Linked DNA regions of Caenorhabditis elegans. The protein of the gene in region 2 interacts with the protein of the main gene of each other region in a pairwise test. Each region holds a gene or a part of one and is shown on either strand. Other genes may lie near its edges.

Evidence for each region. Proteins that work in one complex are often made in the same cells at the same time.
Region 1: the proteins of fars-3 (region 2) and ifa-4 interact in a two-hybrid assay, tested with the Caenorhabditis elegans proteins (one large-scale study listed by BioGRID).

What each region holds. Positions count from the first base shown.
Region 1 is NC_003284.9:4,912,598-4,919,569, reverse strand, and holds the start of ifa-4 (Intermediate filament protein ifa-4), read left to right. Parts: upstream 1-3,590; 5' UTR 3,591-3,593; coding exon 3,594-3,684; intron 3,685-4,200; coding exon 4,201-4,484; intron 4,485-4,540; coding exon 4,541-4,825; intron 4,826-4,868; coding exon 4,869-4,964; intron 4,965-5,009; coding exon 5,010-5,123; intron 5,124-5,171; coding exon 5,172-5,345; intron 5,346-5,394; coding exon 5,395-5,683; intron 5,684-6,134; coding exon 6,135-6,214; intron 6,215-6,582; coding exon 6,583-6,858; intron 6,859-6,919; coding exon 6,920-6,958; 3' UTR 6,959-6,972. Other genes in the region: K05B2.4 (Acyl-coenzyme A thioesterase 1-like), read left to right, coding at 1-37, 84-249, 370-515.
Region 2 is NC_003280.10:8,460,066-8,467,037, reverse strand, and holds the start of fars-3 (Phenylalanine--tRNA ligase beta subunit), read right to left. Parts: upstream 2,191-6,972; 5' UTR 2,187-2,190; coding exon 2,129-2,186; intron 1,993-2,128; coding exon 1,937-1,992; intron 1,894-1,936; coding exon 856-1,893; intron 811-855; coding exon 342-810; intron 291-341; coding exon 222-290; intron 176-221; coding exon 90-175; 3' UTR 1-89. Other genes in the region: zyg-9 (Zygote defective protein 9), read right to left, coding at 2,789-2,924, 3,001-3,929, 4,047-4,559, 4,758-5,104, 5,152-5,605, 5,655-5,807, 5,907-5,993.

The sequences.
Region 1 (6,972 bases), on a different chromosome or scaffold from region 2:
CGAGGATTCAAGTCCAGAAACTGCATTTAGATTTTCTGTTAGTTTTCCCGACAAAAAACATAGAAATAATTTCAAATTTTCAGCTCGCCGTAGATGATTTGAGCACACCAACTGTATTTGTAGGAAAGGTGTTATCAGAAAAGTTGAGAAACTTAAACAGGAAAGTCGAAGTTCATTATGTTTCTGGTGGTCATTTGCTAGATCCTCCATGTTTTCCGCATCACGAAGCTGTGTTTTCAGCTTTTGCAGGTAAATTATTATTTTTTTTGTTGGCCCGCTGTCGACCGCTGTTGCAACATCTAAAATTCCGATTTCATTGATTTTTTATTAAACTTTGTTAACTTTGTTTTCTAAAATTCAAATTTTCAGGAACCTTCCAAGCATATGGTGGTGAAACAAGCCTTCACGGAAAAAGTCAGTTTGAAGTCTGGGAAAAAACTGTCCAATTTTTCTCCGAACACCTCGGCGCGCCAACTCCTCTTCCTGACTATTCGAGACATTTGGCAAAACTTTGAACTTCATTTCTCTGTGCAAATAAAATCATCTCTCCATTTCTTTACTTACAAAAAATTGATTTGAATATAAATACTCTCTTTGTATGTCGAAATGAAATTCCAATCATTTCGAACACAAAAAAAGCGAAAAAAGCATCTGAAATTGCGTTCGACGACAAATTGATAAACGTTTGAGATGGTTGCCGGTGAGTCACAATCAAAATTGAAAAGAGACATACATATTGTGAAGTTATTGTCCCCCACCCGCAATAGGTACAAATGATACATCATTATCGCCTTCAACCTACGCGTTCCATGAATAATTATGCAGAACGACAACAACAAAGGGAGTCGTATTGCAATATGTGTATTGGTACACTGTAATCCGCACGTTGAGCGCACCGAAACGGCTTAGTCAGTTCTTATGAAAAATATTCAGAATACAAAATACATAACCTGTTTTTACGTTCCGAACCGATACCCCTGAATAGGATATGAACTGTAATCAGTTTACGGGCGCGGTTTAACTTTTCAAGAAATGTTAGCATCTGTCCCGAAAAACTGTCATACTCTTTATTAGAAGCGAAACGCTGAATTTTCACATTATATATGGATTCGCAAAGTTTCCAGTTGTTATTTATGTGTTTTTAATACGTTGCAGACGACGTAGTTTATCCCCAAGCTTATTGTCTACATAGATCAAAAACTTGCGTTGCTTTGTATTTGAGTATATAGAATGAAATCACTAGTACTGTAACTTTCCTAAACCTTCTCGTGCACTTTTTATAATTGAAAATTTGACAAAAGGCTAAATTTCGCTAAAATTCTCCAACTTATACGTGTTTTAGGACATTAGGTTTTATTGAATTATTAATAATTTAGCATATTTGCAACGCATACCTGTGTTTAATTAAATATCAATTGAAAACATACCTTACTAATTAAAAATTAGATTAATTATAATGATAGATAAAAATTAGAAAAATTAGATAATTGAAAATTAAAAAATAATTAGTTGACATAAAAACGCGTTATGATTAACCAAAATGCACCAGAAGAATTAAGCAATTTAGTCAACGTTCTTGGAAAATACAACAAAAAATACCACTTTTATTATGAATTTCGGTCTTGTGCCATTTTATACGGATAGTTTGCGATGTGGCGTTGCTCATTTTACAAAAATTGCAAAATTGCCAGTGTAAGTAGAAAATACCAATTAAAAGCTAAAGACGCATTAAGAAATAATTTCCATTTCAAATAAACGTTGTTGAATTAGTAATACGTGTGTTGTTAGTTTAATTTTCATTTAAATCTCACCAAAATTCAATTTTTACTATTTCACCTGCGTGCAATTTTTGACTCATATGCACTACCCAACAAATATGTTATTTCCCTACCTCCCCCTCCCGCAATTGTAAAGCAAAAAAGTAAAAAAATGTTTAAAAAGAGACTCTCAAAATGCAAATGTTTGTTTTGATACCCGCTATCAATCCGCCCTTTTCGCCCATTTTTTCTTCTCTCCCTGATTTTACAGGCCGAGTTTCGTTTGTGTACATGAAGGCAACAGCTCCGCCTCCGTGTTATTTTGCATATATATTTCAGGCAACACCTACGGTTTGTTTGTCCGACACGGTCTCCTTAAAAGGGAGTACTGTAACTGAGCTTTTTTAAAAATGACACTGGTTCTATTTTTCCAATGCAACCTTCCTTTTAAACGTTAGTATAATACTTAAAAACAAAAAAGGAAAGTTTGTTTTTTTTTCTAGTTTCTTAATTAATAAAGTTCGCATGTACTGAAAAAATGACTCTTTTCCTGATGATAATGCAATTTATTTTATACAAATCATAAGTTTCATTAATCAACAGACATCTTAGCATTATGTTTCAGAACATTTTATGTAGATTTGAATTTTAAGGGAAGTTTTAATTTTAAATTCCGTTTTAAAGAAGACCGTTTGCCGTGAGTTTTTTTTTCAGTGTTGTTTTTATTTTAAATGTTTAACTTCAATTTTTTGGCAGTTTTAAAATGAACTTGTATACAAACAATTTCATTAATAATTGTTATTTTGGCTGTACAAGTAAATCACGAACCATAATCAAAGGCTGACTTGTAAGATGTCGGCCGATTTATCTAAGAACGAGATCGCGGGGTGCAGATTTGAAACAATCTGAACCTGTAGACAATATAATCAGCTAAATTTTATTTATTGAACTTTTTCCCAACGCTAATAGTTTCTGAGATAGACACAATCAAATAAATTTCAGAATTATAGATTAAGACCCTTTTGAACATTGAATTTTTAACAAGTCGTAAACATTTCACCTAAATTTTAGAACACGCAGTTTCGATGCTCTGAACTTATTTTTGTCAATTTGTATTCCCATTATCCTCCCCTTATCGCATACTAAAAATTTTTCCATTTTTCGATTTTAGTTTTGACGTGCTTATCTTTTGTCATCCCTTCACAACCAAAACAATTCAGAATAATATAAGGTGTTTACGATCCTTTAATACTCATGAATATGGAAACGTTGTGAAACAGTAGCATTGTGTATAAACACGCCATGACGGCAGCTAGCATCTAGTAATCGGTCACCGAATCGCCGTCGCCACCGCCGTCCGCTTTTGAATAGCGGTCAGTGCGCGTTCGTCAATAGCTCGATGAACCGTTACACTCTCCCAGTTTTTAGTTTCTGTTTCATTTTCTGTTTCATGCCTGGTTTTTTCCTTCTATAATTTGACTATACAGACAATTAGGAGTAAACCCTCCTAGGCATCCTCTTTCCACGCATGCCAAGTCCCGTCAAAATAAATAGTGCGCGCGCCAATTTGTAACACGGTTTTTTGTTCTGTCAAGAGTTAGGGCTCTCGAAACAGCTAATAGATCTCGCGCATTGTCATTGTGTCCTACAAACGATCCATCTCTAATCTGTGTCATATTCACTCATATTCTTGTCACATATGTATAACGTCATTTACTATGAGGTAACTTTTCTACACTTTTTCATCGAAAAATAGTTCGCTGTGTTTTTTTTTTAATTTTCGATTATGAAAATGCAATTAATTGAAAACTATTTAAGTTTCCATGTTTGTAGGAAATGTCGGAGAGCGAATACCGAAGCTCAATTTCGGTTCGACCAACGTTTAACAGAACAATGCAATCCACCGCCACCTATGGAAGTACTATTTGTGAGTTTTCAGATGAATATTTTGAATATGAGCAGTACTTTGTCTTTAAAATTGTATTATATGATGTATTATATGATTTATATTAAAATTAAACCCTCCAAATGTTTTAATTTATGTTTTACAATATTCAATTGGCAATATGCCAAACGTTCAAACAACAACCCTGACCTTTTGAGAAGTTTTGAACATTTTTGCTGATCTGAACTTTCAAAATGTACAAATAAAATCAATTAAAATTCAATTAAAAGAAAAAACTTGTGGAATGTTTTATTGTCTCACTACCAAAATTATGATTGGTGAAAAATGATTAAGTGAACTTTTTTGACTGTAAAGTTAAAAATAAAAATTTAAAAAGTGTTAAAAAATTATTAACATTAATGAATTGATTCCTCTGGAAAACCTACAAATTTTTTTTGTTTTATGGTCATGTTTGTCAAGTGTTATTTTTCAGTTCTGATACACGTTTAAAAACTACTTCAAACTACAAAAACTGACTTCCAAAAATTCAAATTTCAGCTTCTGGAACTAGCCGCACACTCAAGATCACAGAGATCGGTGGATCTAATCTAACATCAGGCATGTCTCCATTCGGAGGCCATGCCGCCTCTGCCATTCGTGAATCTCGTACTCGCGAGAAAAAAGAAATGAGTGAACTCAATGACCGCCTGGCGAGCTACATTGAGAAAGTTCGATTCTTGGAGGCTCAAAATCGCAAGATGGAGAAGGACTTGAATTTGCTCCGTGGAAAATGGGGACACGATTCTACAAGTGTTAAAGTTATGTATGAGACTGAGCTCAGAGTAAGTGAATGAATATTATATACAGCAAAATCTGAGAAACTTTAAATTCTGTTCAGAGTGCGAAAGACCTGATCGCCGATTCTGACAAAGAAAGAGCTCAGCTAGAAGATCAAATTAAGAAACTTGTTGAAGAGCTGAACAACTATAGAAACAAACTTCATGAGGCTGAAAGAGGTGCTGACGTTACACGTAAAGAGCTTGACAATGTGCTCGGAAGACTTGGAGCATTGGAAGCCGAGATTGAGCTATTGAAAAGAAGAATTTCTCTGATGGAAGAAAGCATCGGTCATTTGAAGCGCGAAAATCATCGTATGATCGACTCACTTCATCATGCCAGAAATGTAAGTTTCAGTAGAAAACTTAATTTATATGTACAGCTTTCAGGCTGTGGAACAAGAAACTCTGAACCGCATCGATTATCAAAATCAAGTGCAGACACTACTGGAGGAGTGTGATTTCATTCGCAGAATTCATGATTCGGTATGAAAAACAATTAGTACAGCTTTCAACGAGTGTCTTTTTCAGGAAATCCACGATCTTCTCGCTATGGCATCTCGTGATACTACGGTGGAAAACCGCGAATATTTCAAGAATGAGTTATCCTCTGCTATTCGTGAGATCAGAAGCGAATATGATCATGTGAGAAAAGTCATTAAAAGAGGTAAAAAATAGAGACTTGAATTACAGGTGAGCAACACTACCCGTACTGACATCGAGTCTTGGTACAAGCTGAAGGTTCAAGAAATTCACACTCAAAATTCTCGCAACTGCTTGGAGCAGAATTATGCTCGCGAGGAAGTTAAGAGACTCCGCACAACACTTGGTGATATGCGTGGAAAGATGGCGGATCTAGAAGGAAGAGTTCGTTTTGATGACTATATACATCTGATATTATTTGTCAACATTTCAGAATCTTCTCCTCGAAAAACAAATCGAAGACCTCAACTACCAGATGGAAGAGGATATGAGATCATATGAACAATCACTGAACGATAAGGACACATCGATCAACAAACTTCGTGACGAGAGCAAGATCCTGATGGTTGAGCTTCAAATGCTCATTGATACAAAACAGACTCTCGATGCTGAAATTGTGATCTACCGTAAGATGCTTGATGGAGAAGAGAATCGCGCAGGTCTACGTCAGCTCGTCGAGCAGGTTGTTAAGACAACATCTATTCATCAAACCAAGGAAATTGGTAGGTTCGCGTATACTCAATGTTTACTTCACGTTACGATGACCACAAATTACGGTTAAAATTTAAAGTATACGTCCACTGATAACTTGTTTCAAGTTTTCAAGTCATGCGGTCACCAAACTGTGTAACGTAACTTTATTATTGTTTTCCGCCCAGAGAGACCGCTGGGTGTGTCCCCTTGTTGATATACCTTGGTCAATTTAGTACTCCTATTTAATCGCTTTACTTTTGATTTGGAACAGCATTGTTTCATCTTTAACCCAAAAAAGTAACATGCCAGAAATTCATTGTTCTCAATACGAGACTATCACTTTTGACGACGTTCCCCATACCCATTACCTTGTCGGTGATAAAATTCGCAGAAAGCCGCACGGTAAGATTAATAGGAGTAATAGGTGTCACGAGGCATTGTTAGTTGCAAATTTATATCAGTTTTTGTGTTTTGTTGCAGAGAGTCTTCGAGTTCTCAAAGGTGAAACGACTAGTCATTCGTCGTATTCCAGATCAGCAAAAGGAAATATTGCAATTCAGGTGAGTGGAAATTACATCCCAAAAATTGATGTATATTCTGAAAAAAACAATTATAGCAAAATTTTGAAAGCAATCATGGACATTTTTTGAGCGAGTTTTTGCCTGCAATTTCCACTGAACACTTCAGAAAATGACTATTCTTCAAAATGGCCGTGCACAAAATTTAGAAATATGTGCCTGGTGTGACGATTTTGCATGATCCGACATTAACCGGGTTCGCTGCTCACTCAGAACCTAGTCCTGTGCAAAACCAAATATATGTCGGATCATGCTGAACAAAAACTTTCCTTAAAGTGGCCGTGCCCAAATTTCTGAAAACAGTGTTTTCGATTTTTCATTTTTGCAAGAAAAAAATCCACCATTTTCAGGAAGCCGAGCCATCTGGAAAGTACATTGTACTGGAGAACATCTCAAGACGTGATGAGAACATCGGAGACTGGAAACTCCGTCGGAAGATTGCCGGAAAACGCGAAATCGTGTTCACCTTCCCGCGCGAGTTCACCCTTCGTGCTCAAAAGAGCGTGAAAATTTTCGCACGTGGGCAGGGAGTTCATTCCCCACCCGATAGTCTTGTGTACGACCTCGAAGACTCGTTCGGCACCGGAAACGACGTCGTTACTACTCTCTACAACAAAGAAGGAGAGGTAAGCGTCAATAAATTATGCGCGCTGGAACTGACTGGAAACGTTATTTATCTTGTTTCAGGACCGTGCTTCCCACAGCCAACGTGCTTCACACACCTAATTGCATCAACCAAT
Region 2 (6,972 bases):
ATGAAATATTTAAAAACCACATTTCAGAGGAAAAATCCATAAATAATCGCAATAACAAAACCAAAAACCGGGAAGTAACAAAAATATGTTTAAAGGAATGGTTCCACATTGATTTCGACAGCTCCACATGGCAATGTGAGCCCGAAGGAGGTGATAACTTCTGGATGGAGAGCTCCTAAAATATTAAATATTAAAAGGATGTCATTTTAAATATGACTTGCCGATATGTCCGAGAACGACTCCCTTTGGACCGATAATCTTGGCACACCGTCCTGGGAAGTAGGTTGAATCTGAAAAAGTAGCATATTTCAATTATAAGGACTCATAAATACAAATCTTACTTTCATCGGCTTCGATGTAGTATCCAGTTCCGTCGCGCGCAGGATTGACATTTAGCATTCTCATAATTCGATCCAAGAATCCTTGAATAATCTCGAAACCAGCAGCTCTATTGTAGTACACTGCAGCAAGTCTTCTCTCATTTCTTGCTCCAACATCTGTATTTGAGTCTTTCACAATAACATCTTGAAGCTCAAACAATTTCAATGGGAGTGGCATGTCTCGGTTGGAAGACAGTGTTTTCAAAAGTCCGGGAAGAAGGGATGTTCGAGCAACTTGGAATTCAAGAGTTTTTGGATTTCCAATATGAACTGCATGAGAAAGTGCATCTGGCTGGCGGAGCTTTGAAGAAATGTCGTCACGGCTGCACAATGCGAAGTTCAAAGCTTCTGTCCATCCAGCGGCAGCAATTTCGATCCGGAGATTATCGCAGAGCTTGTTGATTGGGAAGGCCACAGCAACAGTATTGGACTGAAAATACTTATTTAGAATTTAATCTAGAAAATGAATAAATACCTCCGGAAGCTTTGTAATCAAGTTATTGTAACCAAAGGCCACACCAACATCTTCAGCAATGTCACATGCGTGGAGAATATCGTGTCTTGTGGGTGGAACAACAATTTTCAAAGTTTCCTTCGCAGCAACCTCAGCTTTCAACGACATTTTATTGAGAAGAGTTGCCATTTCTTCATCTTTCAGGTTGATACCAATCTTCGTATTGATTTCTGGTGTTGTCACAGTCATTTCACGATAGGAAAGAAGAGGATAAAGCTCTTTGACTCCAGTTTCCTCATACACAACTTCGACTTGCTCGATAGTGAACGGCTTGGCACAGTACTGAGAGAAAAGAGTCACAATAGTGTCAAGGACCACGAAAGCTTTCTGTTTATCTGTTGCAGTAGCCTCAATGAAGACGTTTTTGGTATTCAAAGTGATCTTGGAATGTTCTCCATTGATAATAGGCGGCATTGAGCAAACAACTCCGTTCTTATCATAAATCACAGGATACACTGGATGATTTTGAATAATAGGAAGATAAGCTTTTAAATGACTATCGGTGGAATACAGGGTCATCAGTTCTTCCGCAGTATACTCCTTCGTTTGATTAAGCGGTTTGAACTTGATATCTTTTGGAGCTTCGGCTCGGTATTCGAATGGCCCTTGAATGGTGTCCAAGTCGTGTGTTCCGATGGCAACAAGAGTACGCTTTCTGCAGATATTTTGATGCAGCTTGTCCTGAAGATCAATGAAAGAAGCATAGCTATCCGCATCGAATGAAATATCACGTAAAACTGCTCCGACGACAAAAGGACGAACTTGAGCAGTTTCCTTCTTCACGATAATTTTTTGAAGACCAGTCTTTGGCACATCGGCATATTTGTATGCTGGTGATGGGATTTCTTGTTTGAAAATACGAATTGCTCGAGCCAGCCCTTCAACGCTCAATAAATCATAGCGATTTGCTGGAATGTCAATTTTGTATACTTCTTGATCATTCAAATCAGACGCAGCTCTTGTTCCTTGCTCTTTTTCAACAGCGGCTTTCTCAGATGTCTGCAAATAAAATATGATAACAAATATTTGAACCAAAACGTACAATTTCGTCCAACTCCAAGCCATATTCGAAACAGAGCTCGTCGAACTCCTTCTCCGCTGAAAATTTAACATTATTGGTAATACAAACAATGTAGTTTACTACGAATTTATTTTGATATCCGTTCATTGCTTTTACTACTTTAATTCCAGTAGCAACATTTTTCAGACTACACTGCTTTTTTTAGAAACTTACAATAGACTCGCTTGAAGTGCTTGTCAAGGATGACTTTCTTGATTCCCACAGTTGGCATTTCGCTGAAAATATAATGAATTAACTATGGAAATCTAGAGAAATTAATCAAGAAGACCGAAAAGAAAATAGGATTAATTTGGATTGTCGGCAAATTCGGTGTCCTTAGTACCAACCAAGGTGTACACGGTGACGCCACATTGCGGACAATACTTTTTTTGGAATTTAATATATTATTAATTAATAAATGGAAAAAATAAATAAATTTCTGGAAATCAGAACCTTTAAAGCGAAACTCTCATGTATTTCCATAGAACAGTCATCGAACCGAAATTCTCAAATAAAATCCGCTAATCCGCCTTTTATTGAGAGTCTGTTTGCTGAAGTTATTTTTTAAAAGTTAAACAATAAATTTATTTCCGGGAATGAAATAAGCGCTAAAAAACTGAAATACTTCCGAGCTCTTCCACGAATATCAATCAATAAATTAAAGTTCCAGATCAGTAAATTCTTCTGGTAATCAAAATGATTTTACAATACAAAATACATTTCACAAGCAAATAAAATTGAAGCATAGAGCTAAAAAATACCAGTAAAAATGCGGGTGTAAGAAATTACTCGTTATTTTCGTGTTATGCACTTTAAGGGGCAGGGATAAAATTATCAATGATTTTTGACTCTGTCCAGTGTATGACGAATGTTCGCCATTTGGTCTCGGCTCAATGTGGTTCTCTTTGGACGGATCATGTTTCCACGCGCACGAGTGATGGTTGCGTCTCCACGAGATAGAGGTGTTCCACTGAAAATTAGTTTTTTTTAGTTTGGCAAAATATGAGATGAGAGCTAAATTACGTTCTTTGTCTTATGAAACTTACACAATCATAGTATCCATTCTGTTTATATCTGTTGGAGTTATTCTACCTTCCTCTTGAACAGGACCAGTAGCTGCCATGGCTTTGAAAACTGCCATTGACGATTTAACGACATGAGAGAGGTTAAAGTCAATCCTCTTCTTTCTGGAACACTCGCCGACTAGCTCCTTGATGAGCTCTCCCATTGGATTATTTTTGAGATATTCCATATACTCATTCCAAGATCGGTCACTGGATGCAATGAGAATATTCAGTTGCTCAATATGTTTAACTGCCATCGAGGTATCACGCAGAATATTGTCGATCGAAACTTGAACGCCGCTTCGCACTACAACTGCTTCATCCTCTTGTGGCATTCTGGCTTCCAATGTTCCAGGCATGATAGGATCAATTTTTCGTTCTCTCATCATTTGTAAAATCTTGTTGATCATACTGGTCAAGTGCATATGTGGTCGAGAAAGACGACGGGCAGCATCCAAGACGACGTCTCCTTGCTGAAGGATAACCCGCTCCAAATAGTTATCAACTATCAAAATGTGTGAATCGCTGATGTCCATTTTAAGTTCTGTGAGTGCACAAACGTAGAAAGCATTGAATGAGTCGACTATATCCGAGGCTCTCAGTTGAGCTCTTCTCTTTTCAAGTTCATCACACCATTTCGACGAGAGCTTCGACACAAGTTCGGTTATACCGGTGTTCATTTGAAGTGATTCAGTCATTGCCAGAATCAATCCGCACAACAGATTAGACAGCTCAACTCTGTAGATTAATCGCATTGCCAGTCGATTGAGAGATCTTGCCATTCCGTATCCGGACTCTGTGTTACCGATTTGGATGATACATCTGAGGACCGAAGAGATGATGGCTTTGACTGTGTCGGGGGACGCATTAAGTGGCTCAAGGCCGTGCTCAGTTTCGACTCCTCCCATCAACTGAAAAGATAAATTTGGATATATACATATACATGGCATGACTAAATGAAACAAAGAGAGCCAGATATATTTCGGAACTCCCCTTGATTACTATGACATATGAAAAATATAACTTACAATGAAAAGCATTTGCGTACAAGCGTCCATAGTTCCACTGACATCTCGTCCAGCATTGAATTCTTCAATCACCAAATCTAATTGAGCAGCAGATGCACGAAACACCAAATCGGCACGTCGATCAACAAGATGACGTTGTTCAGGTTGATTAAGAACATAAGTGACCTGGAACATAGCATCTTGAGCAACATCTGCAAGACTGCTCGAAATATTGTTGATGCTTCTTTGGATTTGATCAGAAGTGTCTATGGAGGAAATCGACGATGAAGAATTGGTCCGCTTCATTTGGAAGGTATTGTTTGACCAGCCATTGACAGGTTGTGGTGGAGTGATGACTTGAGTGCCATCAAGACGGCCCATGGCTGACGAAAAGACGTCGTCACGAAGTGCATAGCGAGATGAAGTTTTTGGAGGCATTGTGTCTTGTCGTATAGTGAAGGTGTCGCTTTGAACTTCTTCTGGTTCAGGTTCACGAGTACGAGATCGAGAAGCAGGACGACGAACAACCGAACCCTGAAAAACATGTAATTTTTCGTTTTCTAAAAACTGAACGAAACTTCGCGTGGGTATCGAATAGGGAATCACTACTAACTCCAAATATTTGAGACAAAAAAAAATATTATTTACTTCCAACTCGTAAGACTGTATGGCCGATTCAAGTGATCTTTCAGGGAACCTGACTCATTACGAGAAATATTTTAAACAACTAACCTGTTGTTGTGGCACTAAAATTTTGGGTCCTCCAGTTGGCGGCGAGGTGACAACACCAGATCCCGGTTTCACTCCTGTTCGTTTTATTCTTTCCTCAACCAACGACTTGTCCTTATCTGCCATTCTTCCTGCTGCTTTCCACATTTGATCACCTTCAAATTTGAAACAAGCCACGAGAACATTGATAGCAGCATTTCGGACGTTGACATCCTTGTCACCAACAAATGGAGCAACTGTTTTTTCGACTGATAACGATTTCAGCGGACTTATTCCAGCATTTGTAATGTAGTATTCAATGACTAGCAGACACTCGGAACGTTGGCGAGCGTTTTTCGACTTCAGCGCATCTGAAAATAAAAATTACTAGAACATTATTGATCTTCTTCTCTCATACCAAGTAGCATGGGTGTCATCTTGAGTGGACCGACAACATCTGAAAGTACATTGACAATATCCCTGACAGAAGTTCTCATATTGTCTTTGGCTTCTCCTGTCTTCAATAACAAGTATGGAACAAATGCAGACACCTCTTCTTGTGACATTGGAGTTTCTGTATCCCGAATTAGCTCCACAATAACTTTGCACAATTCCAAAACTTTGATAAGTGCGGCCGGGTTGGTCTCGAAAAATCGCAAAGTGCACCATTTTAATAGAAGATCGCTGTTGGATAGAAGAGATCGAGGAGATGTATCGGCAAGGCGAACCAGAGAATCAAGAGCCGCAAGATGCTGCTTGAAATCTTTGTGGAAAAGTTGACTCATTAGAGACACTTTCGCTTGGTTTCCGAGCAGGGTTTGAAGTTGCGAGATATGTTCATCAGTCGGAGCTTGGAAATTCCATTTGACTAACTGCAAATTAATTAGAATGTATGATTATTAACTCATTTAAAGCAATTACTTTTAATTGCTTCTCTTCCTTGATTCGTTGCTTTTTATCCTCGTTGTCACTGAGCAAAAGTTCGGCTTTTGGTGCAACAACGGGAGGCTCGTTTTCTTCGTTCTCCTTCACGGGAACTTTCTTCTTCTTATCGCCTGGTGGTGGTTTCAGGGGCTGAAAAAAAAATAATAAAAAATTGTAAGTTTTCAGTTTTAAACGACCACACAATCGATACAAATTACTATATGGAAATAAGAACACAATTTTAATCACCTCATCCTCTTCCTCGACCACTTCCTCATCTTCCGGTTGTTTCTTCGGTGGAGCTGTTTTTTTCGGTGGTGCAGCAGCTGGCGGAGCCTAAATTTGACAACACATTCACAATAAAATTACAAATAAGCAGTACAAAAATCATCAGTGAATACTTCTAAATACTATCATTACTTATATATAAAAAAATAATTCCGTTTGTTCCATAGTTTGTAGTCTATGTAGTCTTTGTAGTCTGTGACGTCACACCCAAAGTCACTGAGAATTGTGGGCGGGGTCTGTCATCCTTCGCGGTGAGACTCATCGTGGCGAGACCCATCGTGGTGAGACCCATCGTGGCGAGACCCACCGTGGTGAGACCCGTCGTGGTGAGACCCATCGTGGTAATACCCACCGTGGTGAGACCCGTCGTGGTAAGACCCAAAATTTTGGCGGGAAATTTAAATTTTCTGTGAAAAATAATTTGGCGGGAAATTTAAATTTTCTGTGAAAAATATTTTGGCGGGAATTTTAAATGTTCTGTGAAAAATATTTTGGCGGGAAATTTAAATTTTCTGAGAAAAATATTTCGGCGAGAAATTTAAGTTTTCTGTGAAAAATATTTTTGCGGGAAATTTAAATTTTCTGAAAATTCTAAAATTCTGGAAATCTAGAATCTTCTGGAAATTTCGAAAAAATTCTCGAATGTTCCAGAACTTTCTAGAAAAATCGAGAAAATTCTGGAATGTTCCAGAACTTTGTAGAAAAATCGAGAAAATTCTGGAATGTTCCAGAACTTTCTAGAAAAATTGGGAAAAGTCTGGAATGTTCCAGAACTTTCTAGAAAAATTGGGAAAAGTCTGGAATGTTCCAGAACTTTCTAGAAAAATTGAGAAATTTCTGTAATGTTCCAGAACTTTCTAGAAAAATTGGGAAAAGTCTGGAATGTTCCAGAACTTTCTAGAAAAATTGGGAAAAGTCTGGAATGTTCCAGAACTTTCTAGAAAAATTGAGAAATTTCTGTAATGTTCCAGAACTTTCTAGAAAAATTGGGAAATTTTTGGAATGTTCCAGAACTTTCTAGAAAAAT